Linked DNA regions of Neurospora crassa OR74A. The protein of the gene in region 1 purifies or fractionates together with the protein of each later gene. This does not show direct contact. Links are inferred from orthologs where the notes say so. Each region holds a gene or a part of one and is shown in the gene's direction. Other genes may lie near its edges. The genes, in order: NCU03794, NCU09843, NCU08668, NCU06418, NCU07956, NCU01595 and NCU01008.

Region 1 (4,260 bases):
TTAGACAGAGCTCTCCTACAAGACACCAAGGTCCCCCTGCGTGATGTGCTGTCGTACCCTTGAAGAACTTCTCCTCGAGCTCAGCCTTTGTGATTTCGATCTCGACGGTCTTGTCGACCTGCTTCTGGTGGCGCCTCTTGTGGTCGGCATAGTTCTTGATGGTCGTGGAGAACAGCGTGTTGATGAAGGTGGTCTTGCCGAGGCCGGACTCGCCAGCAACCTATCCACCCACGCCGTCAGCATTGGTTTTACAAGCGCGAGGTTCGGCAAGCTTTGGACAGTGAAGCGCACCATAATAGTAAAAGCAGCGCCTCTCTTAGCAACAATCTTGTGTCGCTGGTTGGGCAGATTGGCAATGCCAATCGGTGAGGCGCTCTCGGTAGTGGCAGGGGCCATCTTCAGCTGGGCGAAACACGAAACTGGGAGATAATTATGGGTAGAGGATTAAGTCACGATCCCGTTGCTGTAACGGCGAGAAGAAGCACCGGCAATTGGAGAAAAAGAGCGTCAGGCGGGATGCGTGGTGTACGGGTATGGTGGTGGTCGTGAATGGGAATCGAAATTAGGTTGGTGTTGACAGTGGACGGGTGGGAGCGAGAGGCAGACGGGGGATGGAACTGCAGTGGTGAGTGGACGGGGGACCCGTCGTGGAGCTCTGTGCTTTCGTTCAGGGGAATTTACTTGTTCAAATTTCCACACCACATTCATCTGGCCCAACCCAGCACCACACACCCACGCAGGAGAGAGCACCAGCGACGGGGACGGGAGCGCCAGGCCAAACCTAGCCCACACTGACTGAACCCCAAGCACTCCAGGCACTGCAGGGCCGCGGCAGCAGACGGACGGAGCAAGCAGCGAGCAAGCAGCATTCGATTCCATCCTCCAGATGAGGTGCCTGGGCGGGGCCACGGCAGCCGTCTGTGATGATGCCGAGAAGGCGCACGGTACACGATCCATATAATCCAATGGCACCTTTCGAGCCCGGCATTCTGCAGTAGTGTAGAGCTGCCACCACACAAGGCCGCTCTTGACTGGCTGCGCGGCAGGGAAATGAGTGGACCCTCCCCTTTTCCACTTGCTTCCCACACTTCCCCAATTCCAGGTCCCCAGAGACGGACCTACGCTGGCAGCTCTCCACTGAAACGCGCTTGCCAGGTACCCTCGCCGAGCATTTAATCGATGCGTGCCTTCCCTGCTAGCGCCATTGGCGGTGATCAGCCATTCATTGCCATGGAAACTTGGTCGACCCTTTGACCCTTTGATTGCCAGCTCTGCCAGCCTTGCACTGTGCTTGGTGACCGTGCTTGGTGGTGCCGTGCAGTGGTTGGTCTCGCTGCGGTCGGTGAGGCTGCCAGATACGCCAAGTCTTTTGCCAGCTGGTGCCAAAGCGAGGAGCTAACCCGACTCCATTCCCCGCCAAAAAGTTTATGAAATTTTTGGCTGGCAGAATCGCCATTGAACGTACGGGCGGTCTAGGCGCAACAGCAGCAGCCTGTAACTGAACTTCTGTTCCACTTACCTATACAGACTCGAAAGAGTCCTCCAGTTCCTGTACATAATCGAATCCCCAGATACTATCCCAGTTCTGCTCCATCTCCAACGTTGACAGTCGAGGCATGGAATAGTGTTTGAAAATGAAGACCGACTTCAAGTTTTCTAATCTACTGGGCACAGTCTACTGCCAGGGCAACCTCTTGTTCAGCCCGGACGGTACCCATCTCTTCTCGCCCGTTGGCAACAGGGTGACAGTCTTTAACCTTGTCGAGTACGTCTCAAGATTCCCTACACACCTGCCTGGCGCATGGCTTGTAAGCTGGCTAACACGGTCGCAGTAACAAATCATATACCCTTCCCTTCTCCCACCGAAAGAACATTGCGCGTATCGGTCTCACGCCCCAGGGCAACCTCCTACTCTCCATAGACGAAGATGGCCAAGCTATTCTCACCAACGTGCCCCGGCGCGTAGTACTATATCACTTCTCCTTCAAGGCTCCAGTAACGGCTCTCTCCTTTTCGCCATCGGGGCGCCACTTCATTGTTGGACTCGGCAGGAAAATCGAGGTTTGGCACGTTCCCTCAACACCCGACGCCAACGCCGACGGCGAGCTCGAGTTTGCGCCCTTCGTCAAGCACCATACCCACGTCCAACACTTCGACGATGTCCGTCACATCGAGTGGTCCCACGACTCGCGATTCTTCCTCACATCTTCCAAGGATCTCACAGCAAGGATATGGAGTGTTGATCAAGAGGAGGGGTTCACACCTACAGTTCTGTCCGGTCACAGGCAGGGTGTCGTGGGCGCGTGGTTTTCCAAGGATCAAGAGACGATTTACACAGTCAGCAAGGACGGCGCCGTATTCGACTGGCAATACGTTGCGAAGCCTGGACAGGACGAGGATATGGTGGACGACGATGACCTGGCCTGGAGGATAGTCAACAAGCACTATTTCATGCAGAACAGCGCCACCGTACGATGCGCCGCTTTCCATCCCGAATCGAACTTGCTGGTTGCCGGTTTCTCGAACGGTATCTTTGGCCTCTACGAAATGCCCGACTTCAACATGATCCACACTCTCAGCATCTCCCAGAACGAAATTGACTTTGTGACGATCAACAAGAGCGGCGAGTGGCTGGCGTTTGGCGCATCCAAGCTTGGTCAGCTTTTGGTGTGGGAGTGGCAGTCCGAGTCTTACATTCTCAAGCAGCAGGGCCATTTCGACTCGATGAACTCCCTCGTTTACTCTCCGGACGGTCAGCGGATTGTCACAGTCGCCGATGATGGAAAGATTAAGGTGTGGGATACGGAATCGGGATTCTGCATTGTTACCTTCACAGAGCACACGAGCGGCATCACTGCTTGCGAGTTCTCCAAGAAGGGCAATGTCCTGTTTACCTCGAGTTTGGACGGTTCCATCAGGGCTTGGGACTTGATCAGATACAGAAACTTCAGGACCTTTACAGCACCAGAAAGGCTATCTTTCTCTTGCATGGCAGTTGATCCTAGTGGCGAAATCGTGGCGGCTGGCTCCGTTGACTCTTTCGACATTCATATTTGGTCTGTCCAGACTGGCCAGCTCCTAGATCGTCTTTCGGGACACGAGGGCCCTGTGTCATCCTTGGCCTTTGCGCCTAACGGCGGTCTTCTTGTGAGTGGTAGTTGGGACCGCACTGCCCGTATCTGGTCCATCTTCAACCGCACACAAACAAGCGAGCCTCTCCAGCTCAACTCGGATGTTCTCGACATTGCCTTTAGGCCAGATTCTCTCCAGATTGCCATCTCCACTCTCGACGGCAACCTGTCGTTCTGGTCGGTCTCGGAAGCTGAGCAGCAAGCTGGTCTTGATGGACGCAGGGATGTCTCCGGCGGTCGGAAGATCGGTGATCGCAGGACTGCGGCCAATGTTGCCGGTACCAAGGCTTTCAACACCATCAGATACAGCACAGACGGATCGTGCCTTTTGGCCGGCGGAAACAGCAAGTATATTTGCTTGTACTCCGTCACCACCATGGTTCTCCTGAAGAAGTACACCGTGAGCGTCAATCTTTCAATTCAAGGCACTCAAGAGTTCCTCAACAGCAAGCTTCTCACCGAGGCTGGACCCCAGGGTCTCCTGGACGAGCAAGGCGAGGCCTCCGATTTCGAGGACAGGATAGACAGGTCACTCCCAGGCTCCAAGCGCGGCGACCCCTCCGCACGGAGGAAGAATCCCGAAGTGAGAGTAAACGGCGTTGCCTTCTCCCCGAACGGAAGTGCTTTCTGCGCCGCCTCCACAGAAGGTCTTTTGATCTACAGCCTGGACACCACCATCCAGTTCGATCCCTTTGACCTCAACATGGAGATCACCCCCACCTCTACCCTGGCCGTGCTCGAGAAGGAGAAGGACTACCTCAAGGCTCTCGTCATGGCTTTCCGCTTGAACGAGGCCGGTCTGATCCAGCGTGTCTTCCAGGCCATCCCTTACACCGACATCCCTCTGGTGGTCGAGCAGTTTCCCAACGTGTACGTTGCCAGGCTGCTGCGGTACGTTGCCGCGCAGACCGAGCAGAGCCCTCACGTTGAGTTCTGTCTTCTTTGGATCAAGGCTCTGGTCGACAAGCACGGCGCGTGGTTGTCTGCCAACCGCGGCAAGGTCGATGTTGAGCTTCGTGTTGTCGCAAGGGCTGTTTCCAAGATGAGGGATGAGATCAGGAAGTTGGCCGATGAAAACGTCTACATGGTTGACTACCTCCTCGGTCAGGCGAGCGCTGCTAAGGAGACT
Region 2 (4,237 bases), about 3.5 Mb from region 1:
GGCGCGGAAAAGGACGAGGCATTTGTCCAGTCCGCTGCGTCGGAGGCTGCGTTAAAGTTGTTTCCTCGCTTAAGCAATGTCCTATCAAAGAATTACTATGCTTAGGTCGCGACTACTAATATAGTTTCACGGTGTTAGAAAATAAAATAAATAAAAAAAGGAATGAAAGGATACACGGCATGTCTCTGTCCGCTATTCTTGTATCTATATCATGAATTAGCCGTGATCTAAACCTCTAGGCCTAGGTCTCAAGGAGAATTCGAGTAGGAGTAGTACCATGTCTCTAGCAGCAGCAGCAGTATGGGTAGGTATCAGCGGGCCTCCCCGTCGTCGTCGTCATAACTTATACTATCCAACTATGTTAAAGCACCAGATTGTAGATAAAGACTAGAACTTCAGTTTGACAACCTGAACACTTTGGTGGCCCTGAGACTTCATTGTGTTCCTTCTCCTTCGTCGGTCATCCGCCTCGGGGGTGCAGTGTCTTCAACCTCATCTGCTCGGCAACTGAGTTGCAGTCATGACAAAGAAATTAATCATGTGATCGGATGAGAAGCGAGTTTCACATTGCTTTTCTCCATCACGACGAGCAGCCAGCGCGTTTGATGATCTCCGAAGTTTGATCTTTTTTTCTTTTTCTTTTCATCTCTTGATGATTTTGTTTTCTCATCTCAAAGTCACGAGTAAAAAAAAAAAAACAAACTGCGAGTAGCCGGCTTGTGACGTTGGTGTTTTTGTTGCACAAACCGTTATCAGTTTCATACGAGTTGTCCAGGCGCTTGTTATTGACTGAATGGAGTGTAAAGAGAAAAGGTTGTGACTTGTAATTGATATTCTCCGTCTTCACTCTAAGCTTAGCTCATGGTTCAAGTAGTTTTCATACGCGCTTCGTTATAAATACATCTGTGGCTAGATAAAACATTCAAGTCATCATCAATACGCACGCTGTTGTTGTTGTTGTCAGCAACAGGTTACTAGACTACCAACTCGCTACCATTTCGAGGCCAATGCTCCAGATACACATCCCTAATGACATGTTAATCATAGATTCACATACCGAGGAGATGATGATTGTCAATGAGCGTGTCATGCATCAAAATACTCTTGGATTTTTACTCCAGTCAATTAATTATATGTCAGTCGACTGTCTCCAGTTGATAAAGGCGACAACTTACACGACTTACAATCACGACGGCGGGGATGCAGCACGATAAGATAACGCCAAACATTCACACGACATGGAAGCCCAAGCAGACCAATCAAAAGAAGGAACTTGTGAAGAGGACGGGACCCTGGAAGCTTGGCGTTTTCTGGCCTGGGGCTGGTCACTATGGTACCTAGTCGCTGTAGGTAAACTTTATCGGCTTGGCGGGGCCTCCAATCGATGGCTCCAACCAATGGCTTTTGCATCGCATCGCCGTCAAAAAAACTAAAATTCCCACTTGGAGATTTCAACAATTCGTGAACTTTGAGCCCCGCAAAGTCACCACCACGACAAGACCTCGACGCGTGCCTCCCTCCCCCAATCCGATTTCGACCCTAATCGACTTCCCCCGATTCCGATAACCGAGTATCCTCTCTTCAACACTACCCGAACTAGACGGAACGAACCTACCACCCATAACCAATCCGTAACCATGGCAGCCGAAGTGCAGCCGCTGGCGACGCTCAAGTTGCCCACGGTCGTCAGCCCCATCACGGCCGAGCAGCGCTACTGGAAGTCCTTCAAGAACCAGAAATCACACACCTCGACGGCAGCATGGCCCATCTCGCACATCAGCTTCCCCGGCTCCAGCAACGGCTCGGCCGCCTCGCACTCCCTCGTCGCCGCCGCCAAGACCAACGACCTCTTCGCCGTCACCTCGGGCCCCCGCGTCGACATCTTCTCCATCCGCAAGCGCGAGCTGCTCAAGACCATCGGCCGCTTCGACTCCCAGGCCCACAGCGGTGAGATCCGCGCCGACGGCCGCGTCCTCGTAGCCGGCGAGGACTCCGGCAAGATGCAGGTCTTCGACGTCGGCACCGGCACCCGCGCCGTCATCCTCAAGACCTGGCACGTCCACAAGCAGCCCGTCTGGGTCACCAAGTGGTCACCTACCGAGCTGACGACGCTCATGTCCTGCTCCGACGACAAGACGGTCCGTCTCTGGGACCTGCCCTCCAACGCGCCCTCGCGCCTGTTCGCCGGCCACCAGGACTACGTCCGCAGCGGCGCCTTCATGCCCGACCGCAACAACCTCCTCGTGTCCGGCTCCTACGACTCGACCGTCCGCGTCTGGGACGCCCGCGCCCCCGCCGGCTCCGTGCTGACCTTCAAGCACGCCGACCCCATCGAGGAAGTCCTCCCCTTGCCCGGCGGCACCACCCTCTTGGCCGCCACCGGCTCCGCCATCTCCGTCCTCGACCTCGTGGCCGCCAAACCTTTACGCCTCATCACCAACCACCAAAAGACCGTCACGTCACTCAGCCTCGCCTCCAACGGCCGCCGCGTTGTCTCCGGCTCTCTCGACGGGCACGTCAAAGTCTTTGAAACCACCAACTGGAACGTCGTCTCCGGCTCCAAGTACCCCTCGCCCATCCTCTCTCTCTCCGTCGTCGCCGCTGGCTCAGGCCACGAAGACCGCCACCTAGCAGTCGGCATGCAATCCGGCGTTTTGTCCTTGCGCACCCGTTTGTCAGGCGCCACGGCGGAGAAAGCCCGCGCCCGCGCCGCCGAAGACGCGCTCATGGTTTCAGGTGCCTCTTCCAAGCTCGCCAAGATCGACTCCGCCAAAGCCAAGCGCAAGCGCAACGCCGCCTCCAACAAATCCATGGCCTTGCTCGGCGAAAACGTCGACGTGATCATCCCCACCGACGCGCCCAACTCCGCCGGAGGCCGCAAGCGCCGCGTCAAGCTCAAGCCGTGGCAGCGCGACTTTCGCGAGGGCCGGTACGCCGCCTGTCTGGATGCCGTGCTCGACCTGTCCTCTCCGGAATACCAGCCCGTGACGGCCCTGTCCGTGTTGGTGGCGCTGCGCCACCGGTCTGCCCTCCGCGAAGCCCTGGAAGGCCGCGACGAAGTTACTGTCCTGCCTTTGTTGAAGTGGGTCATCAAGTACATCTCGGATCCGCGGTACGCGACCGTGTGCGTGGACGTGGCGTTCCAGCTGTTTGATATCTACAGCGAGTACGTGGGCGGCAGCTCCGAGTTGGCGGATCAGTTTGCTGTGATGACGGGTAAGGTGAGCAGGGAGGTGGAGAAGGCGCAGATGGCGATTATCACGAATGGTATGGTGGAGAGTTTGATGATTGGTGGTGCTGAGGCTTAGGAAGCTGAGCGAGCTTCGGACAAGGCCCTTGAGGCTGCAGTTTGACCAGAAGAAGGTCATGATGGTTGGAAGGGAAAGGGAATGGAAAGATACGGATGAGCTGTGTGGATGGATGGAGCATAAGAAAGATGTAAAGAACGGATGGGATGTGTTGTTATACCACAAAGCAGGAAGGACGGGGAAGGGGGAAAAAAATGGAGAGGGTAAAGGATCCCGGATGTGTTGGTTCGGTTTGGTTCGGTTAGGTATCATGGTTTTTTCTTGATATCAAGCCCTGCATGGCGTCGGCGTTCAAACATTCTTTTTTGGCTTTTTGTACTAATCTGGGCTCACAAAAGTATACATACGGTCACATAAAATAAGGGGTTGGGACTAGATACCTCGAGATAGATACCTTAGGAGAATCAGTAAAAGCCATTCCAAATGCCAGGCTTATTGCGTGACCATGGACTCTTCTGGACGACGCCACCACGATCAAGAGCTTTATTGCAGTGTCAACATTCAGCGTATCCAATAGAATTATGACTATAAATGACAACGTAAACATCTCGCTCCAAAGTCCTCGCTGAAGATCGCTTCAACTTTCCACTTAGTCATAGTCCTCCCTCCTGACTAGGAGAATAGAATGAGATACAGAAAGAGTCTCTCCGGTGAGCCACTCACCACCCTCTGGTATCTGGCCAGACATCGAAAAGAACTCCCGGTCTGCCTCTGACGCCTGCTTTTCCAAGTGCCTTCCTAGGGCTGACTGTTGACAGCCCGACCAGAACTGCTGTCCCACTCTGTCATTGAAGACCGCCTCAATGGCGAGCCGTTCCCTTCTCGGGGGGTTTCCAACACGATAATACTATGTCGTCGTCTTTTCTGTTTTTTGCAGCCAAGGCATCAACCCAAGATGTGTTTGAGCATCAGATGCTTGCCGAACCAGC
Region 3 (3,228 bases), on another chromosome or scaffold:
ATGCGATCGGACGCGGCCTTCTGGACGGCCAGGCCACCAGCAACCGAGCCGGTAAAGCAAATGTTGGCAATCTTGGGGTTTCGCACAATTGTTTCAATCACTGTCGGCGAACCCGAGTGGAAGTACTGGATGACTCCGTCGGGCAACCCAGCCTCGGAAAACACCTTGGCCACCTGCTCGACAATTGTGGGTGTCTGAGGCGAGGGCTTGAGAATGACCGAATTTCCAGACAATAAAGCGGGAATCAAGGCGTTGACGAGAATAAGATAGGGGTACTGCGCAAAGTTAGAGGTGACGGATGGAGTGTCAAAACAACATGATGGACACCACTTACGTTCCAAGCAAAGATGATGAGAACAGGACCAACAGGCACCTTTCGGATGAACCTCTTGAATCCCTTCTCCTCCTCGCCATCGGTGTCCTTCAGAGCATCGTTGCTGATCTTGAGCAGATACTCTGAGCGCTTGATGGCAGTGGCAACCTCCTTGGCAGTATAAGCAATGGGGCGGCCCATCTGGACGGTGAGTTCCTCTGCAAGTTCATCCTGCTTCTCGGCCAGCAACTTCAAGGCCTTCTTGACGATGATCTGTCTGTCCTCCAACTTGGTAGTGCGCCATCCTTGGAAGGCCTTGAAGGCAGTCTCGGGCAGTTGGACGAGTTCCTCCTCTGAAATGCCATTGCGAGTGATGATGGGTTCCCCCGTGGTGGGAGAGATGGTGGTGATCACCTCGACCGACATTGTTACAAGTAGGCTTATCGGCCAGGTATCGAGTGATAAGGATGGTGAAGTGGGATGCAGTGTTGGTTGTCACAAGGAGGAAGAGCGAGTCAAAGGGAAAGAAAAGACACAGTTCAGTTACTCTAGTACTTAGTACTATAATTCGTTATACCTTCCACAAGAAGAAAAGAGCAAACCGACTTGATTCCCATGACCCAATGACACCATGTCGCCCCTCCCGTCGCCGTCTCACTAACAAACAGGAACACGACATCACACTGCCGCACACAGAGTGGCTCCCGCTCCGTTTCTCGGCGGCAGGCCGGGGGAGCTTTGATAAGATAAAGAGTTGTTGGCAGCGCGGGGTCGGGTCTGCAGTGTATGAACTCCACCTCGGAAGGAACCTAAGGCGGGGACGGGATCAGCCAACCTGAACTTCCATTCCCATTCATACTTTGTTATCTCTTATCGGCCCTGCGTGCACGGTCCCTTCCTGCCTGTGGCCCCCAGTGGAGCCAGAAATTTTGAGAAACAGCAGCAGCCATGTCCGTCCAGCGCTTCCACGCCAAAAGAAGACTTGCGAATCGCGTCGTGATCCTTCTCCAACGCAAACAAACACCCGACTGCCCTAAATCTCCCCATAACGACCCAATCATTCAACCTACGAAACTTTCAGCATACAACAAAAAGTCCACCAATTAGAAACACAAGTCAATCATCCATCGACAATGCCGGAGGACGATGTCAGAAACAAGTTCCTCGATGCTGGCGATAGCGACGACGATGCGGGCCACGGTTCTGACTCGGAGGATGATTTCCAAAAGGGTGGCCGTAACGCCAAGCGCAGAAGAGTGAGCGATGACGAGGACAGCGAAGCCGACGACTTTACCGACGCAGAGGAGGAACACGACCAAGATGATGCTGAAAGCAAGGATGCACCTGCAAAGGACGGCCAGGAAACAACAGATGGAAAGGAAAAGAAGGATGGAAAGAAGGAGAAGGAGAAGAAGTCGGTACTAGCGAGTGACCTTCCGGGCATGACGAAGCCTCTCACAAAGAAGAATCTCATCGTCACGGAGGAGGCCATCAAGAAGTCGGGAGTGGTGTACATCTCCAGGGTACCACCTTTCATGACTCCTGCCAAGTTGCGCTCCCTGCTGGAGCCGTACGGAAAGTTGAATCGCATTTTCCTGGCCCCCGAGGACCCAGTTGCGCGACGCAAGCGCATTCGCAGCGGAGGCAATAAAAAGAAGATGTTTACAGAAGGCTGGATTGAGTTTGTCAAGAAGAAGGGTAGGTCTTCATTCCGTGAGACTCGCTGAGACCCAAGTACAAAGACGCTAACAAGAAAACCCGTTTGTTTGCAGACGCCAAAAAGGCATGCGAACTCCTCAATGCCCGTCCAATCGGAGGCAAGAAGGGATCCTACTACCGCGACGATATCTGGAACTTGCTCTACCTCAAGGGTTTCAAGTGGCACAACCTGACCGAACAAATCGCTGCTGAGAACGCCGAGCGATCCAGCAGAATGCGCGCCGAAATCTCCAAGACAACCAAAGAAAACAAGGAGTTCGTCCGCAACGTGGAGAGGGCCAAGGTGCTGCAGGGCATTCAGGCAAAGAAGGCGTCCAAGGGCAGCAAAGCGGGCGGTGAGGGTGCCGCCCAAGTCACAGAATCTACTATTCCCTCGGCGGCGGCAACGACGACGACGACAACAAACGACGATAAGAGGAGAACATTCAAGCAAATACCCTTGGCCAAGAAGAGGAAGCTCGATGAGACACAGCCCGAGCAAGTACAAAGAGTGCTCAGCAAGATCTTTTAACCTTCTCGTTTGGCCCCCGAACAATAGGTTTGAGACACGGAGCGTTCATGTACCTGTGGGATTTCTGTCGTCAAAGCGACTCCGAGACATTAGAGATGGGTGGTGTTGATTTTCTTTCCCTTAGGCAATTGTATATATTTTTCTGCCTTCAGTCATCTTGATACCCAACCTGATTTCCTTTTGCTATGAGAGCATCTCCATTTCCGTCACTTTGTCATATCCCTACTTATCGACGCTGCACAGAAACCGGCCGGCGTTTGGTTTAATTGGCCCACCATGAGCACATTCCAAATCCCAGCCACGAGGAAGAGTGCCCCTGACGATACGGTCAACACTCGATACAACTTCACCAATTGTCCTGTCGCAAATGCTGTCAAAAGGGGATCATATTTAACGACTCACCCGACTTACGCCCTTCGCATACTTCAAGGACTCATCCAGCGTATGCTTGACGTAGATGAGGAAGGTTGCGAACATTTCTCAAAACGTCGCCTGGACACCATACTCCAATATACGTCCTGGTCAAACTATATCATCGGGCATATCCGCCAAGACCGCTCTTGTCGTTATTTGAGTGAAGATCAGATGCACAAGTTCTTCCATGCATGTATTCAAACGGTCGAGGATGGCTGTACCCTGTGGGAACATATATACCTTTTGAAACCTAGTTGCTGTGCTGGGCGTG
Region 4 (4,027 bases), on another chromosome or scaffold:
AGTTCACTGTGAGTGAGCGGCGTTTCAGAAGAGACAGCCTGGAGAATCTACAGCATGATCAGCTCAGGCCTTCAAGGTTAACTTCACCATCTTGGGGAGCCAACCAGGTGGATGAAACATGCTTGCTTTGATCAACACAATTGTTTACACTTGAAGCAGGTGATAAGTTATAGATGACAATGAAGGACCTCAGCATATGCGAATCGAGATGAATATGAGGTATATCATCAAGCCATACGAAGCATGATCATGCCATGTAAACAAAACACTTTTACCTCCTTTCATTGCTCGATATTATCATGTTGATACCTTGTTCTGGCCTATTTGCCTGCTTATTCGATGGGGGCATTTGGGGACCAAATCGGTAGGCCACTGTGCCAGTAAAGTACCACAACGTCAACATGGCCCATCATGTTCATCGAAATGCCCGAGTTGGGTAAGGGCCGATAGCCCATGCATCGCCGGGGCAAGCTCGCGTGTGCCCTACCGCGGGTTCCACTCCAGACTTGGCCCGTTTAGCGGCGGCCATGAGGATCCGTAGTCTTGGGATCATCGTCAACGACTGTCCTTCTGTGGCACTAAATCATAACACAAGAAGGGGGCCCGTTGAAGGACATGATCTCATCTGTCGTAGTTCGTCCGAGCATCAAGACAACGAACGAGCTGCATCCTTGAGGTGCTGTCTTTCAGCCGACCGAACAAGCTGCTTTCCCTTCTGTTATCGATACTTATACTCCTTGTGTAGACCTTGTTCGGAAACCGTGCAGTCAGCATAACACCACCAGAAGCTGGACATTGCAGTGCTTTTCCGACATGAACCTTGATCCTAGACTGCTCATGCTTCTTGGCTCATTCCCAAACAAGAAGAAGCTCTCCTATTTTTTGCATTCTTCCAAGCGCCCAGAAGTCGCACTATGGAGATCAAACCAACGGTTTCTTCGTATTCCATGAGATGGAATGTGGAAACGAACAACCCCGTCCAAAACTTAAGCGCCGATGGGTTTGGTGGCTGACGCTTGTTATGCGACGTTGGCGGTTCGCCGGCGCTTCGGCTTGCGTTTCAAGGTACACTGGTGGGTCTTGCTGTGATGCTACCCTAGGGGCAGGCCCAGGCTTGCTTGCTTGCGGTCCGTGTGCGGACGTCGGGTCTTGGCGATCTGTACATATTAAAAGTTCGTGAATGGAAGGACGATGGGTATATAAGTGAGAATGAAACTCTAAGGATATGGGCACTTTATCACGATACACAGCGGTTCATACCCTCATGGTATCGTTCTGCGAAAGACATGTACATAAGGAGATGGAGGACGGCTTGGTGAGGCTCTAGACCGTTGAAGTGTTTCTGAAGCACCGAGGCACCCCCATAAAGTCCAAAATGCCACGCTTACGTAATGACGCTCAATGTGACATTTTTACAAGCACGCTTTCCCTTTTCGGTCACTCCCGAGAACCTTGCTGAACCAAAAATTTTGAATTTTGTAGCGGTCGCAAGTCGTTATCAGTTTATCGACTGATAATCAACACCACAGGAACACACATCGAATCTGCTAGAGGCGCCCATCACGGTCCTGGAACGAATGCGAAGAGACATCTCGCACCAAACATAAACATCCGTCTAGACCTTTTGATTCCAACTCCCGCAAATAAGGAGCAAACCAACAATGCCGTCTGCCACAGCCGCAAAGGCCAAAAAGGCCAATGCCAATGCCAACCTCAAATCCAAGGTTAACAAGGCGCCCGCCGTCACTGAGATTGATGAACAATCTGGTCACTCTGAGGATGAGTCCGACTTTGGGTCTGAACTAGATGTGGAGGATGAGTCGGCTGCCTCAGATGAAGAGGACGAGGATGAGGACGAGGATGAACACGATTTAGAGGAGGGCGTCTCAGACGAAGGGGAGGGCGTCTCAGACGAAGAGGAGGGCGTCTCAGATGAAGATGAGGACGAGGAGAACCAGAGCGCCGGATCAGGCTCAGACTCAGATTCCGATTCGCTAGACAGTGACGCCCCCAGAAAACGACGCCGTACCTCACCTACCATCGACGACATCGTTACTCAACTTGAAGACGAGGAAGAGGATGACACGCCTGTCGCCCCCGTCAAGCCTGTCTTCAATAACGTCCCATCCCGCATCAAGAAAAAGCAAGCTGAGGCGCCCAAGACAGAAAAGACCGAAGAGGCAACACCAGCCCTACCAGTACCAGAGCCTGCCAGCACAGTTTCTGTTCCTATCGACGCCAACACCACCTTTGACGCACTCAATGTCCGCCCATGGCTGGTCCAGTCTCTCGCCAACATGGCCATCAAGCGGCCAACCGGCATTCAAAAGGGTTGTATACCCGAGATTCTCAAGGGCAGGGACTGTATTGGTGGCAGTAGGACAGGTTCGGGTAAGACGGTAGCATTTGCCGTTCCCATTCTCCAGCAATGGGCTGCCAACCCATCCGCCATCTTTGGTGTCATCCTCACGCCCACCCGGTAAGTCCACTCCGAGTACCCCTTAACCCCCACAAACAATCAAACAATAGGTAGAGGCTAACCACTTCCACAGCGAACTCGCCCTCCAAATCATGGAGCAAGTCATCGCCCTCTCTCAGCCCCACGTCCTCAAAGCCGTCCTCATCACCGGCGGCGCCGACATGCGCAAACAAGCCATTGACCTCGCCAAGCGTCCTCACCTCGTCATTGCCACCCCCGGCCGTCTCGCCGACCACATCCGCACCTCTGGCGAGGACACCATCTGCGGTCTTCGCCGCGTCAAGTTCATTGTGCTCGACGAAGCCGACCGCTTGCTCGCCAACAGTGGCCACGGCTCCATGCTCCCCGACGTCGAAGAATGCTTCTCCGTCCTCCCTCCTCCTTCCGAGCGCCAAACGCTTCTCTTCACCGCCACCATGACGCCCGAAGTCAAGGCCCTTTCCGAGCGCCCGCCCATTCCCGGCCGCGCCCCCGTCTTTGTGTGCGAAGTCGACACCCAGCGGCTCGCCATCCCCGCCACCCTGCGCCAGATGCACCTCCAGGTGCCGGTCACCCACCGCGAGCACTACCTGCACATGTTCCTGCTGACCCCGCAAAACGTGGACAAGAGCGTCATCATCTTCTGCAACCGCACCAGCACGGCCGACTTTTTGCACCACTTGTTGCGCTTGCTCGACCACCGCGTTACCTCTCTGCACTCCAAGTTGCCGCAGAGCCAGAGAATCGACAACCTCGGTCGGTTCCGCGCCTCGGCTGCGCGCATTCTGGTGGCGACCGACGTGGCGGCCAGAGGTCTCGATATCCCCGAGGTGAAGATTGTGATCAACTACGACATCCCCCGCGATCCGGACGATTATATTCATCGTGTTGGTCGTACGGCGCGTGCGGGCCGCAAGGGTGATGCGGTGACGTTTGTGGGGCAGAGGGATGTCGATCTGGTGCTGGCGATCGAGCAGAGAGTTGGACGGCAGATGGAGGCATGGACGGAGGAGGGCGTCAACTTGGAGACGAGAGTGATCAGGGATGCGCTGAAGGTGGTGGGCGAGAAGAAGAGGGAGGCCTTGTTGGAGATTGAGGAGCAGAAGGAGGTGGGCGGAAAGAGGAAGAGGGGGAAGGAGAAGTTGAGGGCCATGTAAGCTGTCCTGTTGATGATAAGAATAGGGAGGAGAGGGGGAGCCGAAGTGGAGGAGGTAATGAAGGGAAAGGGGGTAGTGAATGATCTGATACCAAAAATATGTGTTGGGGTAGGGTGATAGATAAAATATTGAATAAGGGATTGAAAGAGATAAAAGCGATGCCAAGCTATTTTTCATATCTTGTGCCCATGGGGACTATGGCCCGGCTTCTACAAATTATGTCTTCGGTGAGTTTGACTCCTCAAAAGGATGAGCCACGGCCATCATTGATCCTTGTTTTCAGGTTGGAACAAATGCGAGGACATCCGGAGGATGATTCACCGAGCGGAGGTATGCATTTTGAAAGAGATTGCTTCATATCGCACTCCATTTCCTCACACATCATTGATTTCAAAGGCCAGCCCTCCGTCGT
Region 5 (3,456 bases), on another chromosome or scaffold:
GAGACGCGACCAGAACCCGCTTGCTGCCGCCAGAAGCTCTTCTTTTGTGGGCCGATGAGGCAAATGGGGGAGGTGAGGAAGGTGAAGGTATTTAGACATGGAATCTGCTATTGATTCATGTGCGGGAGTCGGCTGGGAACCAGAACCGGAAGCCGTCTCGGTATTCGGTGGCTGCTGTGGTTGCTCGGACTTTTGCTGAGGAGAAATTGTAGAAGACTTGGCTTCGGCCTTGGTCTCGTCATGATCACCCTTGGTCTCTTTGCCCGAACTTTGGAATCGCTTTCCTGTCTTGCATAACGTTGTGGTCGTGGTGTTCTGTCGTATCCTTCGCAAGAGTAAAGCCTGCCGAGCCAAGTGGCCCATTTTTGCCTTTTGCGCGGCATTGCCGGATAGTGCGGATGCCTCTACCGTGCTCGTTGGAGAGGGGCTGGTGGTGAGCCCAAGGAGGAGTAGGCCTCCGGAGGTACAGCTTCGTAGGACATTATGGGATGGTTGTGACTGTTGATAGTGTAGTCTTTGCGATTTTGTTGCTGGGAAGAAAAAGCGACTTGCGGAAGAGGTAAATTGTCGCGTGCTCTGCTGCTGTCCGTATCGCTGATGGGACCCCAGCGATGTCGAGGGGCCAAGTCCAAGACTTTGACGACTCAGTAATGGCTGACAAGTTGGAAGCAGTATCGCGGCTGTGAAGAGATTCGAGGTGGTGTGAAGATCTCGTACTGAAGACCATAGCTGGCGGCCCAGCTGGGTCGTCGTAGCGCTAGTAGACATTGTTGAAATTCATACTGTCGACCGAGTAAGGGACCGACCTGTTCCTTTTTTTTTTCCTATGTTTTCAGCGACGATGGTGATGACGACAGCTCGGTGCCGTATCCATGGTCGGTCCTCGAGGCTGAAAATCAGATGTTGTTGCTTGGTGGTGGGCCGAGTCTAGAATGACATATGATGGTGCTCCTGCTCTGACCAAGAACCTGGAGTTTGAAAAAGCTGCCGGTCCAGGTCCCCGTCAAAAGTGCGTCAATGACGCTAACCTTGGGATTACAGGGATTCCTCGGTAACTGTTAGTGCATGGGCGTTGCGATTGGCAAGGGTCCTAGCCCCCATGCAGCCAATCGATAAGCTTCACTTGGGTACTCTTTTGTGGATCCACTGCTTTTTGTCAAGAATTTCCCCTCTGCGCTATCAAAATCGATAAACATCAAAATTCTAGAGACCGACGGCGCAAAAAGGCAGAACTTCGACTCCCAGATCTCCGCAATTCACGACTGTAACCCAGCATCCCGACACTTCTTTCGTCGCCCGTCACCAGTCTCTCCTCCACCCGATTTTCGAAAAATCTGCCATTACTCTTGGCCGGCGATTTCCCAAAATACTACCGACTTTAATCAACAAACAACCCGACTCGGCCCCTTGACCATCACCCACCGATAAACAACACATCTCGCCCAACATGCCTGCGCCAACAGCACTTCGTCAGCCTGTCAAGGCTCCCGCCGCCCAGATTCCTATCCAGACCGAGCAAGAGGACGAGCTCATTCTCGATGTCAACGAGGCCGTCAACCTCACCGATCCCAGCGCCGCCGCTCCCCCTTCCAATGACCAAGATGTGCAGATGGCTGTAGACGAGGAGGGCCGCCCCCGTTTCGCCCCCGGCCAGGACGTCCAGATCATTCGCCGCGCAGAGACCAGGAAAATTGGTATCCCGCCAAACCGCATGTCGGCCCTCAAGGCCAATTGGACCAAGATGTGAGACGGAAAACTACGGAAACATGTGTGAATGTTTGGGCAAGGAAGACTGACTGTTTTCCAATCAGCTACCCCCCACTTGTAGAGCACTGCAAGCTCCAGGTCCGCATGAACATCAAGGAGAAGCGCGTCGAGCTCCGCTCCAGCAGACACACCACCACCCCCGAATCCCTGCAGATGGGTGCCGATTTCGTCTCCGCCTTCGCCATGGGCTTCGACATTGACGACGCCATTGCCCTGCTCCGTCTCGATTCGCTCTATATCCAGTCCTTCGATGTCAAGGATGTCCGTCAGACCCTTGGCCCCGATGCTCTGGGACGTGCGATTGGTCGTATTGCAGGCAAGGACGGAAAGACCAAGTTTGCGATTGAGAATGGTACGTTCACCATTATGGGAGAATGGAAGAGATGACGCAGAAGTACTGACAAGATGTGAAAAGCCACAAAAACCAGAATCGTCCTCGCCGGCTCCCGCGTTCATATCCTCGGTGCCTTCGAGAACATTGGCATGGCCCGCGAGTCCGTCGTCTCCCTCATTCTCGGACACCAGCCCGGCAAGGTGTACAACAACCTCCGGATCATTGCCTCGAGGCAAAAGGAGAGATTCTAAGCTCTTTCTTTCACGAAAAACGGCAACAATGTGTTACACTTCTATTGCCGCTATTCTCACCTAATGAATGGTTCACGCACGGGGCTGCATGGTTCAGTCAACAAAAAATCGACGGTTTTCATCACATAAGGGGCGAAGGTGGCATTTCGGGAGCTACGCTTAAAAAGGGTTCTGGCGTTTAGGAGTTCATTATGCTTTTGCTTTGAGTTTGGAGAGTTTGAAATGGGCGATTCAGTCAGTCATGCTGGGGATATCTACGAAGGTGTGTAGAAGCGGGAGGAAGAGGACGGGATATTGGGGAGCTACCGCCTTGCGAATCTTTCAATGTGTGGTTATGATCTATACCCGGAGGACGAGAAGAGAAGACAATGAACAGAGATATTCACCAAAAGGCGGTTTAGTGCATATTGGCTGGCAAGGTCGATTATTGTGCAGAGAAAGTGATGTGGGAAACTGATCCAGTGCGCTCATTTGGTTGAGGTTCAATTCCATGGTGACGGCAAATCAAGCAAAATGTAAGGAGCTGATGTGATGGGCACCAATGTAGCCAGGTGAGCCACGATAGATTGGTTTCTTCAGGTCATACAAGTAGTAGTTATTTCCATCCATTCTCTTATCTCGCTTGTTCCGCATAAGTAAAGGTCTTGTTTGTTTTACAGTCCAGATGGCGAACCGTATATCGAAATAGCAGATAGAGCATAGTCAAACCCCTCGATATTCACCTACGATAGGTGGGATGAGACCATCTTAACCCGAGGAGGCTCTTTTTGTGCTCTGACTGACCAACTCCCATGACTCATCAAGCTTGTTGAAATAAAGTGAAGGCAAGACGTAGCAAAAAGTGATATACGTATGGGTATCTTCTGAAGAGCTAGGGTACCACCTCCGCACCATGAACCGTGTCCTGGAAGGACTTGCAACACTCCAAACTCCGTAATCATCTGTCACAACTTTAAGCAAAAACAATAATCCACTAGTCACCGCCGATTTCGTAGGCCTGACGAATAAGCCCGGTAAACTCCAACCCCATAACAGCTAAAGAAATGTGCGAATAACGTCTCCCAAAACCCAGTCTCCATGTTTATTCTCCAGGTCATACACTAC
Region 6 (3,691 bases), on another chromosome or scaffold:
TATACCCGCGACTCGAGCAGCTGGACTTCGACGAGGACGAGCTTGTCGTCCATGCGCTTCAGCTCACGGAGGAGACCGTTGATGAGCGTCAGGGCATCGTAGTAGGACTGCTTGGCCATGTACAAGGCGACAAGACGGGTTTCGAGGTTCTGGCGGAGGAAAGAGCGGCGCTCTGATGTGGCCCATTCTATACACGACTTGGTGACGGAAATCTGGATGTCGAGAGAGTCGGGGATGGCTTCGAAGAGGTCGAGGAGCTGGCGGACTGCATGTATCAACCAGTGTTAGTATCCTCATGAGCTTGTATAGCGCGTCAACAAAGCTGATGGCGGGGTCGTACCAAGCTTTGCCGTCTTTGCCTTTGCGAACGAGGAGAGAACTGTGCGGCTCTGGGTTACGAGGTCTACAAGGCCTTGTGAGTTCCTGTACACGGTGATGGGAGGTTAGTGACCGTACCCCTCCTCGATGACCACGACATACACCAGCCACTCTTACTTCTCGTCGCGATAGAGCTCTCCCAAGTGAATCAAAGCCGTCTCGTATTCCCGGATGGCCGCGTCAGAGGTGACTGATGGCGGCTTGGAGATGATATCCTTGTAAATCTGCTCGGCCTGGCGGGGGTCGGTCGAGACCACCTTCTGCGCCTCGCGCACTCTCTCTGATGCTTCGCCCTGGGCCATGGTGTCGTGTGCTGGTTGTCCCGGTCGCCAAGTGGTAAGCGGTAGTAGTATAAATCGAGAGTTTGGCTATCGGATTGGATGTGATGGTGATTACTCGAGGTCGCGGGGGGATATGCGGCGTGTCGGTGGTCGCAGAGTGTCGGCTTGGAAGTTGTGGTTGTTGTGGTGTTGAAGTTGGAGCTCAGGTTGTTCTGTCGTGACGAACCTCACCACCCGTCCTCTGCTGGAGCACAGCTGTTACCCAAGTCAAGTGCAGGCGGCATGTCCACTAACGAGACCTCTGTACACTACGTACCACCGCTAGGTAGCCAGGCGCGACGTAATTAGCTGGAGACATCCACCTACAGATCCCTGTCAATTCACGGCAGGCAAGCCCAGCTCTCGGTAGCTCAGGCCCTGTCCATCCTTTTGGCAGCGAAGCTCTAACATTCCAAGCCTAAGCGTTTAGCAAACTGCCAAGAAGGCGGTCAAGATTCTTGCCGCCAGACCCCGCCAAAATTTCTCCAGAGGAAGGGGAACGGGAGCTGTCAAACTGCCCGTGTCCGACTGTGCTCCCCAATTGGCGACAGACGCTCCCGGCATCCATCCATCCATCCATTCATTAATTCCAACGTCGATAACTGTATCACAGCACCTGTGCTTTGCGACAAGGTGTACCGACAGACTTCAGCCATACCCGGCCTCATCATATACAATTATTCACACTCGATATCCGTCGGCCTTGGTAGCCTTCTCATCCACGACCCCTTCAACATCATCAACAGAGAAACACCGTCACCATGAAGGTACTTGGGCCTACCACACGCGACGCCCATCAAGATTCGCAAACCCACTTCTAGGCTCACCACTGACACTTCTACAACAGATCAAAGCCCTCAGCCGAAACATCTCGGCCCAGCAGGCCCCCGGTAACGACGTCACCCGCGCACCCCGTAACCTTGCGCCCGAACTCCATCCCTTCGAGCGCGCTCGCGAGTACAAGAGAGCCCTCAATGCCGTCAAGTTGGAGAGAGTCTTCGCCAAGCCCTTCCTCGGCCAGCTAGGAAATGGCCACGTTCAGGGTGTCTACAGCATGGCCAAGGACAAGAACTCGCTACACACAATCGCTTCCGGTTCGGGTGACGGTATCGTCAAGGTCTGGGATCTCACAACACGGGATGAAGCATGGAAGGCTGCCGCCCACAACAATATCGTCAAGGGAATGACCTTCACCAACGACAAGAAGCTTCTCACATGTGCCACCGACGGCATCAAGCTTTGGGACCCTTACACCAAGACCGACTCCCCAACGCCACTCGCGACATGGCAGGAAGGTGGTCCATACACGGCTCTCTCGTTCCACCGCAACACCAACTCCTTCGTTGCCTCTTCGGGCGCCGGCTGCATTCGTATTTGGGATCTCGAGCACAGCACGGCTCCTCAGACGATACAGTGGCCGAACCACAGCGACACCATCACCGATGTTTGCTTCAACCAGGTTGAGACCTCGATCGTGGGTTCCGTCGGCACAGATCGCTCCGTTATTCTGTTCGATTTGCGCACCAACATGCCCGTCATCAAGACTGTTCTCAAGTTCGCCGCCAACCGCATTGTCTTCAACCCCATGGAGGCGATGAACATGGCTGTTGCCTCAGAAGATCACAACGTCTACCTCTTCGACGCCAGGAACTTCACCAAGGCGCAGAATATCCAAAAGGGCCACGTTGCGGCGGTTATGGACGTCGAGTTCTCTCCTACCGGCGAGGAGCTCGTGACTGGTTCCTATGACCGCACAATCAGGGTGTGGCGCCGTGACCAGGGCATGTCTCGCGATGTGTACCACACCAAGCGTATGCAGAGGGTGTTCCGGACTACCTGGACTATGGATTCCAAGTACCTTCTCAGCGGTAGTGACGATGTACGTTGTCTCCTTTCTTTTCTCCAACTGTTCGATCAGCACAGCTAACGTGATATACAGGGTAACGTCCGTTTGTGGCGTGCCAATGCCTCGGAACGCAGCGGCGTCAAGGCGACCAAGCAGAGACAGGCGCTCGAGTACAACAAGACCTTGGTCGAGAGGTATTCTCACATGCCCGAGATCAAGCGCATCTCCCGTCACAGGCACCTGCCTAAGGTGGTCAAGAAGGCGGCCGAGATCAAGCGCGAGGAGCTTGCGGCCATCAAGAGAAGGGAGGAGAACGAGAGGAAACACTCCGTCAAGCAGTTCGAGAAGCGCAAGGCAGAGAGAGAGAAGGCTATCCTGGCCAAGCTGGAGTAATTGCGGTGTTCTTGGCTTTTGTGTGCCATGGTTTGTGCGGTCTCTCGCGCTTCACGCTATGCGTTTACTATTTTCTTTTGCATTGGGCGGCGTTTCTTAGTGGGAAAATTGTCAGGCTATTTGTTGATGAGACTTTCAGGCAGCGGAGTCTCGCTCGGTCTATACGGAGTTCGATACCACATATTCGATAGTATTTTGTTTCTGTGTTCGTCTCTATGTGCAAAGCAAAGCGACCATGTCTTCCCATCTCTTCCAAAACACCTACACCACTCCTTCAGGCGCCCTGTGGACTCCGGCCTCGCTGCTTGACTCTCTTTGCATGGTCACTTTTTTTTCCTCGATTCCTCCTTTCCGGTTGATCAAGGTTCACCTGATTTCCCACAAGTCAGACGGTCGATTTCGTGGACCTGACCAGTACCCAGAAACTGGCGTCAACATCGTGCAGCATTGGCATGAACCTCATGGCCTGGATAAGAAGAACGAACGACATGGAATCGGACGGTCACGGCGTGGGTTGGGATAGTTGGAGGGAAGGATACGGGTCGTTTGTGGCTCATCCGTGGCCATTGATGTGGGCTACCCTAGATCTAGCGCGGCCTGCGTTATTGGATCAAGTAGATGGCTCTCCTGTCTCGATCTGGCTCGAAGACCGGTTGGCAAACAGCAGTCGGAGTGTGGCTCAGCCATCAACACAACCAAACTAGTTGTAGTTGTGCCCTTAGAAAATGGGAGCCCACCTCCGGGCTTTGGGTAT
Region 7 (3,246 bases), about 230 kb from region 1:
ATACCGAGGCCGATGGCGCGCCGCACCATCTTGGCGATCTTGCGCTGGTTGACGGGTTTCAGGCCGGTTTCCTTGGAGTGCCTTATCCGCCCAAAGGGGGTGATGTAGTCGGAGATGAGGGAGAAGTTCTGTTGTCCCCAAGGAAATTAGCATTTCGCCTGAGGCCAGTTTTCGAGACAATGGAATTGGGAAGGGAAGAGGGGTGTGTGAAGGAGGAGGAACAAGAGAAAGGGAGAGGGGAGGGAGTGACAAGAAGAAAAAAGAAAAAAAAAAGAAAAAAGAAAACATACACGATAGTTATCCAACGGACTAAACCCAAGCTCATCCACCACATCCGCCGCCTCCACCCATCCCCCGTTCCTGCCCTTCATCTCGTACGGTGACAGGTCGCGCGGCGCGTACACGTCGCCGTTGTTCCACCGGCGCCTCATCATGCGCATGTAGTTGTTGGAGGTCACCTCGGACTGGAGCAGCTCCTGCACCTTCTGGCTGTTGCTGCCATAGCGCTGTCCTCCGTCGACGTCGCGTGCGTTGTTGTAGCTGTCTCTTCCTCCCCGGCTGCCGGCGCCGCTGTTTAGCAGGTTGAACATGTCCGACTTGTACTGGCTCGAGCCGGCGTTGTTGTTGTTGTTGCTCGACGGCGACGAGGTGTTGGTGTTGGTGCGCGGGGCATTTTGGAAGGAAGTGGTGGGGATGTCGCGGACTGTTTGGTGATTGAAGGTGTTGTTAGCTTATGTGTTATGCTTATAGAGTTGTGGAGGGCGGCATATCGGGTTTGCGATCGACGGAGCGAACATACTGGCAGCGGCCGGTGAGGTGGTCGAGAACTGGGCGGTCCTCTGGCCGGCAGCGCGGCACTGCCTGAGCGCAGAGGAGAGGAATTGACGAGAGGACGACATGGTGGTGGTGGTGGTGGTGGTCGTCGTCGTTGTTGTAATGGTTACAACAGCTTGTAACAGCTGGGCTTTGGCGATGTGCAAGTCCTCTCGGGGAAACCACACACACACACACAGACAAGAATGGAGCTCCCGTTTCGCGATCGGTCGGAGTCGGGAATCGGGGATCGGGGGTTCAGTCGCGACGGGGAGATGCGGCGGCGGCGGGCACGGTCGGTGCGGGCAATTGGAAATTGGAGCTCCGGGCCGGCAGCGACACTTTTTGGCGGATCAATCTCTTTTCGGCGCAGTGGCGGGGCCTGCCGCGGACCGGGGCGCTGTTGCGGGCTTGCGGCTGGCAGCTGGCAGGGCGGGAGCTGATTGCTGGAAAGCCTGAAGCGTCCCGGTTTATTTTATGGGGTAAAATGGAGCTCGCTGCGGGCTAAGAGTGCGCTAAGCAAGGGGCCCGGCAGGCGAGAAAGTGTGGGGCAAGAGTTTTCATTGCAGCAAAAGTTCAACGCCAGAACACCACCACCACTGCAGCTGCTGCTACTATCAGATTACGATACTGAACCATCCATCGCCTCCACACCCGTCTGATTGATACCGCATCTTTGATACCTTTCACAACGACACACTTCTCGACCCAACTAGAACAGCACACCATCAGTGACACAGACAACGAATTGCCAACATGGTCCGCAAGCTCAAGCACGCGGAACAGAAGCTTCTTCGGAAGACCGACTTCATCAACTACAAGTCGGACAACAAGCACAGAGATCACGATGTCGCCAGGTACGCTCATTCGCCTTAAGTGGTTTTTGTGTGAGAACATCTTGCTAACAGTCACACAGACGGTACATGATTCAGAAGCCCGAGGACTATGTATGTTAATCCAAGCAAGGATGAGATGAGGCTCACAGTGACTTTTCATAATGACCATGACAACTGACCCCCTTCTAGCACAAGTACAACAGGATGTGCGGTGTAAGTTTCATCAACTAACCTTACCTATATGAAACTGTTCATGACATACTGACATGATATGCCACAGTCCCTCCGCCAACTCGCCCATCGTCTCAGTTTGCTTCCTCCAGACAACGAGGTGAGGCGAAAGCACGAGGAGCTTTTGCTCGACAAGCTTTACGACATGGGAATTCTGTCGGTATGTCTTCCGGTATCGAAGTTCAACTCGAGCAGTTATTAACGTCCAATCACAGTCCAAGTCGAAGCTGTCGCAGGTGGAGCACCAGGTCACAGTCTCGGCCTTTGCCAGGAGGCGACTGCCCGTCGTCATGACCAGACTTCGTATGGCCGAGACCGTGCAAGCAGCGACCAAGATGATTGAGCAGGGCCATGTCCGTGTGGGTGTCGAAGAGGTCCGTGATCCTGCTTTCCTGGTGACGAGGAGTATGGAGGACTTCGTCACTTGGTCTGTCGGCAGCAAGATCAAGCAGAACATTATGAAGTACCGCGACAAGTTGGACGATTTCGAGCTTCTTTGAGTGGCGGAAGAGCATGGCTGCGGGCATATCAGGAAGTGGTAATGGTACGTTGGGAGCTAAGGCTGGAAAATGGATCACTGGGAAAGGACATACTACTGCGTTGTTTGCAAGTTGGCATTGGGAGGAGTGCTCATATGCGAGCAATATTCTGTGGCGTTTTAGGGTAAAGGCATTCAAAATATGTGAAAGGGATTTTAAGATACCACCATTCGGGTTTACAGGTCAATCACTCGGAGTTGCGGAAGTGTACCAGCTGCGGGCTCCCCACTCGAACTTGCAGTGTCTCACTGTGACCAAAGCCTGGTGAGTCTTCCTTCCGAACCACTACCGACTAATAGCCGACAATATCACTGGCATACTTCTGGGTTTTAGGGGTGCTCCTGCGTTCTTTCTGTTCCGTTCCTCGAAACTGGCAGCACACGAAATAAAACATCCGACGAGCCTCGCTCCTTCCGTAAAGTAGCTCATTTACAATGGCTCACTCTTTCATGAAAATCGTCCCTTTGGCCTGCTCCTCTTCTTGGCATTTCCTCTTTTTTCTCTGCATCTTCCGCTCCCACTCCCTAGCGAGACCTGACCTAACAAATGTCTCCGTATTCCTAACACCGCATCATTCAGTTCTTCACTTCATCCTTTATCCTCGGCTTTATCTCTATCCTATATGGTCCTGGTACTCCTGGTTGTCTTCTCTGCTGTTACCAAGGTCTCCTTATACTTCTCGTACCTCCTTACCTTGATCCTCATCTTGTCATTGAATCAAGGTTGGATTTCTTTCGACACCCTGAGACACCGGGCTCCATATCAGATCAGCATCGCTCTGTGGGAGTTCGTCCCCCGGAAGAGCCCTCCCGACACCAAACCGCCAG

The links.
Region 2: the proteins of NCU03794 (region 1) and NCU09843 purify together in Saccharomyces cerevisiae (affinity purification with mass spectrometry, with the first as the bait; 7 studies listed by BioGRID). This does not show direct contact. The link is inferred for Neurospora crassa OR74A from reciprocal best matches to the Saccharomyces cerevisiae genes PWP2 and UTP15.
Region 3: the proteins of NCU03794 (region 1) and NCU08668 purify together in Saccharomyces cerevisiae (affinity purification with mass spectrometry; 3 studies listed by BioGRID). This does not show direct contact. The link is inferred for Neurospora crassa OR74A from reciprocal best matches to the Saccharomyces cerevisiae genes PWP2 and ESF2.
Region 4: the proteins of NCU03794 (region 1) and NCU06418 purify together in Saccharomyces cerevisiae (affinity purification with mass spectrometry, with the first as the bait; 3 studies listed by BioGRID). This does not show direct contact. The link is inferred for Neurospora crassa OR74A from reciprocal best matches to the Saccharomyces cerevisiae genes PWP2 and DBP8.
Region 5: the proteins of NCU03794 (region 1) and NCU07956 purify together in Saccharomyces cerevisiae (affinity purification with mass spectrometry; 4 studies listed by BioGRID, with this or other methods). This does not show direct contact. The link is inferred for Neurospora crassa OR74A from reciprocal best matches to the Saccharomyces cerevisiae genes PWP2 and PNO1.
Region 6: the proteins of NCU03794 (region 1) and NCU01595 purify together in Saccharomyces cerevisiae (affinity purification with mass spectrometry, with the first as the bait; 6 studies listed by BioGRID). This does not show direct contact. The link is inferred for Neurospora crassa OR74A from reciprocal best matches to the Saccharomyces cerevisiae genes PWP2 and SOF1.
Region 7: the proteins of NCU03794 (region 1) and NCU01008 purify together in Saccharomyces cerevisiae (affinity purification with mass spectrometry, with the first as the bait; 5 studies listed by BioGRID). This does not show direct contact. The link is inferred for Neurospora crassa OR74A from reciprocal best matches to the Saccharomyces cerevisiae genes PWP2 and IMP3.

What each region holds. Positions count from the first base shown.
Region 1 is NC_026505.1:2,437,194-2,441,453, reverse strand, and holds the start of NCU03794 (periodic tryptophan protein 2), read left to right. Parts: upstream 1-1,460; 5' UTR 1,461-1,634; coding exon 1,635-1,765; intron 1,766-1,832; coding exon 1,833-4,260. Other genes in the region: NCU03795 (cell division control protein 12), read right to left, coding at 58-220, 292-396. UniProt on the Saccharomyces cerevisiae protein: Required for bud-site selection and cell separation. Also involved in nucleolar processing of pre-18S ribosomal RNA.
Region 2 is NC_026505.1:5,923,452-5,927,688, reverse strand, and holds NCU09843 (WD repeat containing protein 57), read left to right. Parts: upstream 1-1,455; 5' UTR 1,456-1,637; coding exon 1,638-3,308; 3' UTR 3,309-3,737; downstream 3,738-4,237. Other genes in the region: NCU09844 (amidohydrolase), read left to right, coding at 1-105. UniProt on the Saccharomyces cerevisiae protein: Involved in nucleolar processing of pre-18S ribosomal RNA. Required for optimal pre-ribosomal RNA transcription by RNA polymerase I together with a subset of U3 proteins required for transcription (t-UTPs).
Region 3 is NC_026504.1:4,160,041-4,163,268, forward strand, and holds NCU08668 (pre-rRNA-processing protein esf-2), read left to right. Parts: upstream 1-1,272; 5' UTR 1,273-1,446; coding exon 1,447-2,011; intron 2,012-2,085; coding exon 2,086-2,543; 3' UTR 2,544-2,728; downstream 2,729-3,228. Other genes in the region: NCU08669 (betaine aldehyde dehydrogenase 2), read right to left, coding at 1-275, 335-739. UniProt on the Saccharomyces cerevisiae protein: Involved in the small subunit (SSU) processome assembly and function, and in the 18S rRNA synthesis. Required for the early cleavages at sites A0, A1 and A2. Stimulates DBP8 RNA helicase ATPase activity.
Region 4 is NC_026503.1:1,328,383-1,332,409, reverse strand, and holds NCU06418 (ATP-dependent RNA helicase dbp-8), read left to right. Parts: upstream 1-1,227; 5' UTR 1,228-1,661; coding exon 1,662-2,479; intron 2,480-2,552; coding exon 2,553-3,615; 3' UTR 3,616-3,792; downstream 3,793-4,027. UniProt on the Saccharomyces cerevisiae protein: ATP-binding RNA helicase involved in 40S ribosomal subunit biogenesis and is required for the normal formation of 18S rRNAs through pre-rRNA processing at A0, A1 and A2 sites. Required for vegetative growth.
Region 5 is NC_026504.1:1,226,305-1,229,760, reverse strand, and holds NCU07956 (pre-rRNA-processing protein PNO1), read left to right. Parts: upstream 1-1,196; 5' UTR 1,197-1,447; coding exon 1,448-1,743; intron 1,744-1,811; coding exon 1,812-2,119; intron 2,120-2,182; coding exon 2,183-2,352; 3' UTR 2,353-2,956; downstream 2,957-3,456. Other genes in the region: pod-1 (mitochondrion biogenesis protein), read right to left, coding at 1-768; NCU07957 (hypothetical protein), read right to left, coding at 3,453-3,456. UniProt on the Saccharomyces cerevisiae protein: Required for small ribosomal subunit (SSU) synthesis. Has a role in the processing of early nucleolar and late cytoplasmic pre-RNA species. Recruits DIM1 to nucleolar pre-RNAs.
Region 6 is NC_026502.1:2,998,065-3,001,755, forward strand, and holds NCU01595 (SOF1), read left to right. Parts: upstream 1-1,202; 5' UTR 1,203-1,459; coding exon 1,460-1,465; intron 1,466-1,545; coding exon 1,546-2,577; intron 2,578-2,637; coding exon 2,638-2,937; 3' UTR 2,938-3,191; downstream 3,192-3,691. Other genes in the region: rpn-6 (26S proteasome non-ATPase regulatory subunit 11), read right to left, coding at 1-265, 341-423, 496-680. UniProt on the Saccharomyces cerevisiae protein: Required for ribosomal RNA processing.
Region 7 is NC_026505.1:2,664,392-2,667,637, forward strand, and holds NCU01008 (U3 small nucleolar ribonucleoprotein IMP3), read left to right. Parts: upstream 1-1,370; 5' UTR 1,371-1,569; coding exon 1,570-1,670; intron 1,671-1,729; coding exon 1,730-1,760; intron 1,761-1,838; coding exon 1,839-1,862; intron 1,863-1,929; coding exon 1,930-2,040; intron 2,041-2,095; coding exon 2,096-2,380; 3' UTR 2,381-2,746; downstream 2,747-3,246. Other genes in the region: NCU01007 (mito ribosomal protein S18), read right to left, coding at 1-128, 291-703, 800-899. UniProt on the Saccharomyces cerevisiae protein: Required for the early cleavages at sites A0, A1 and A2 during 18S ribosomal pre-RNA processing.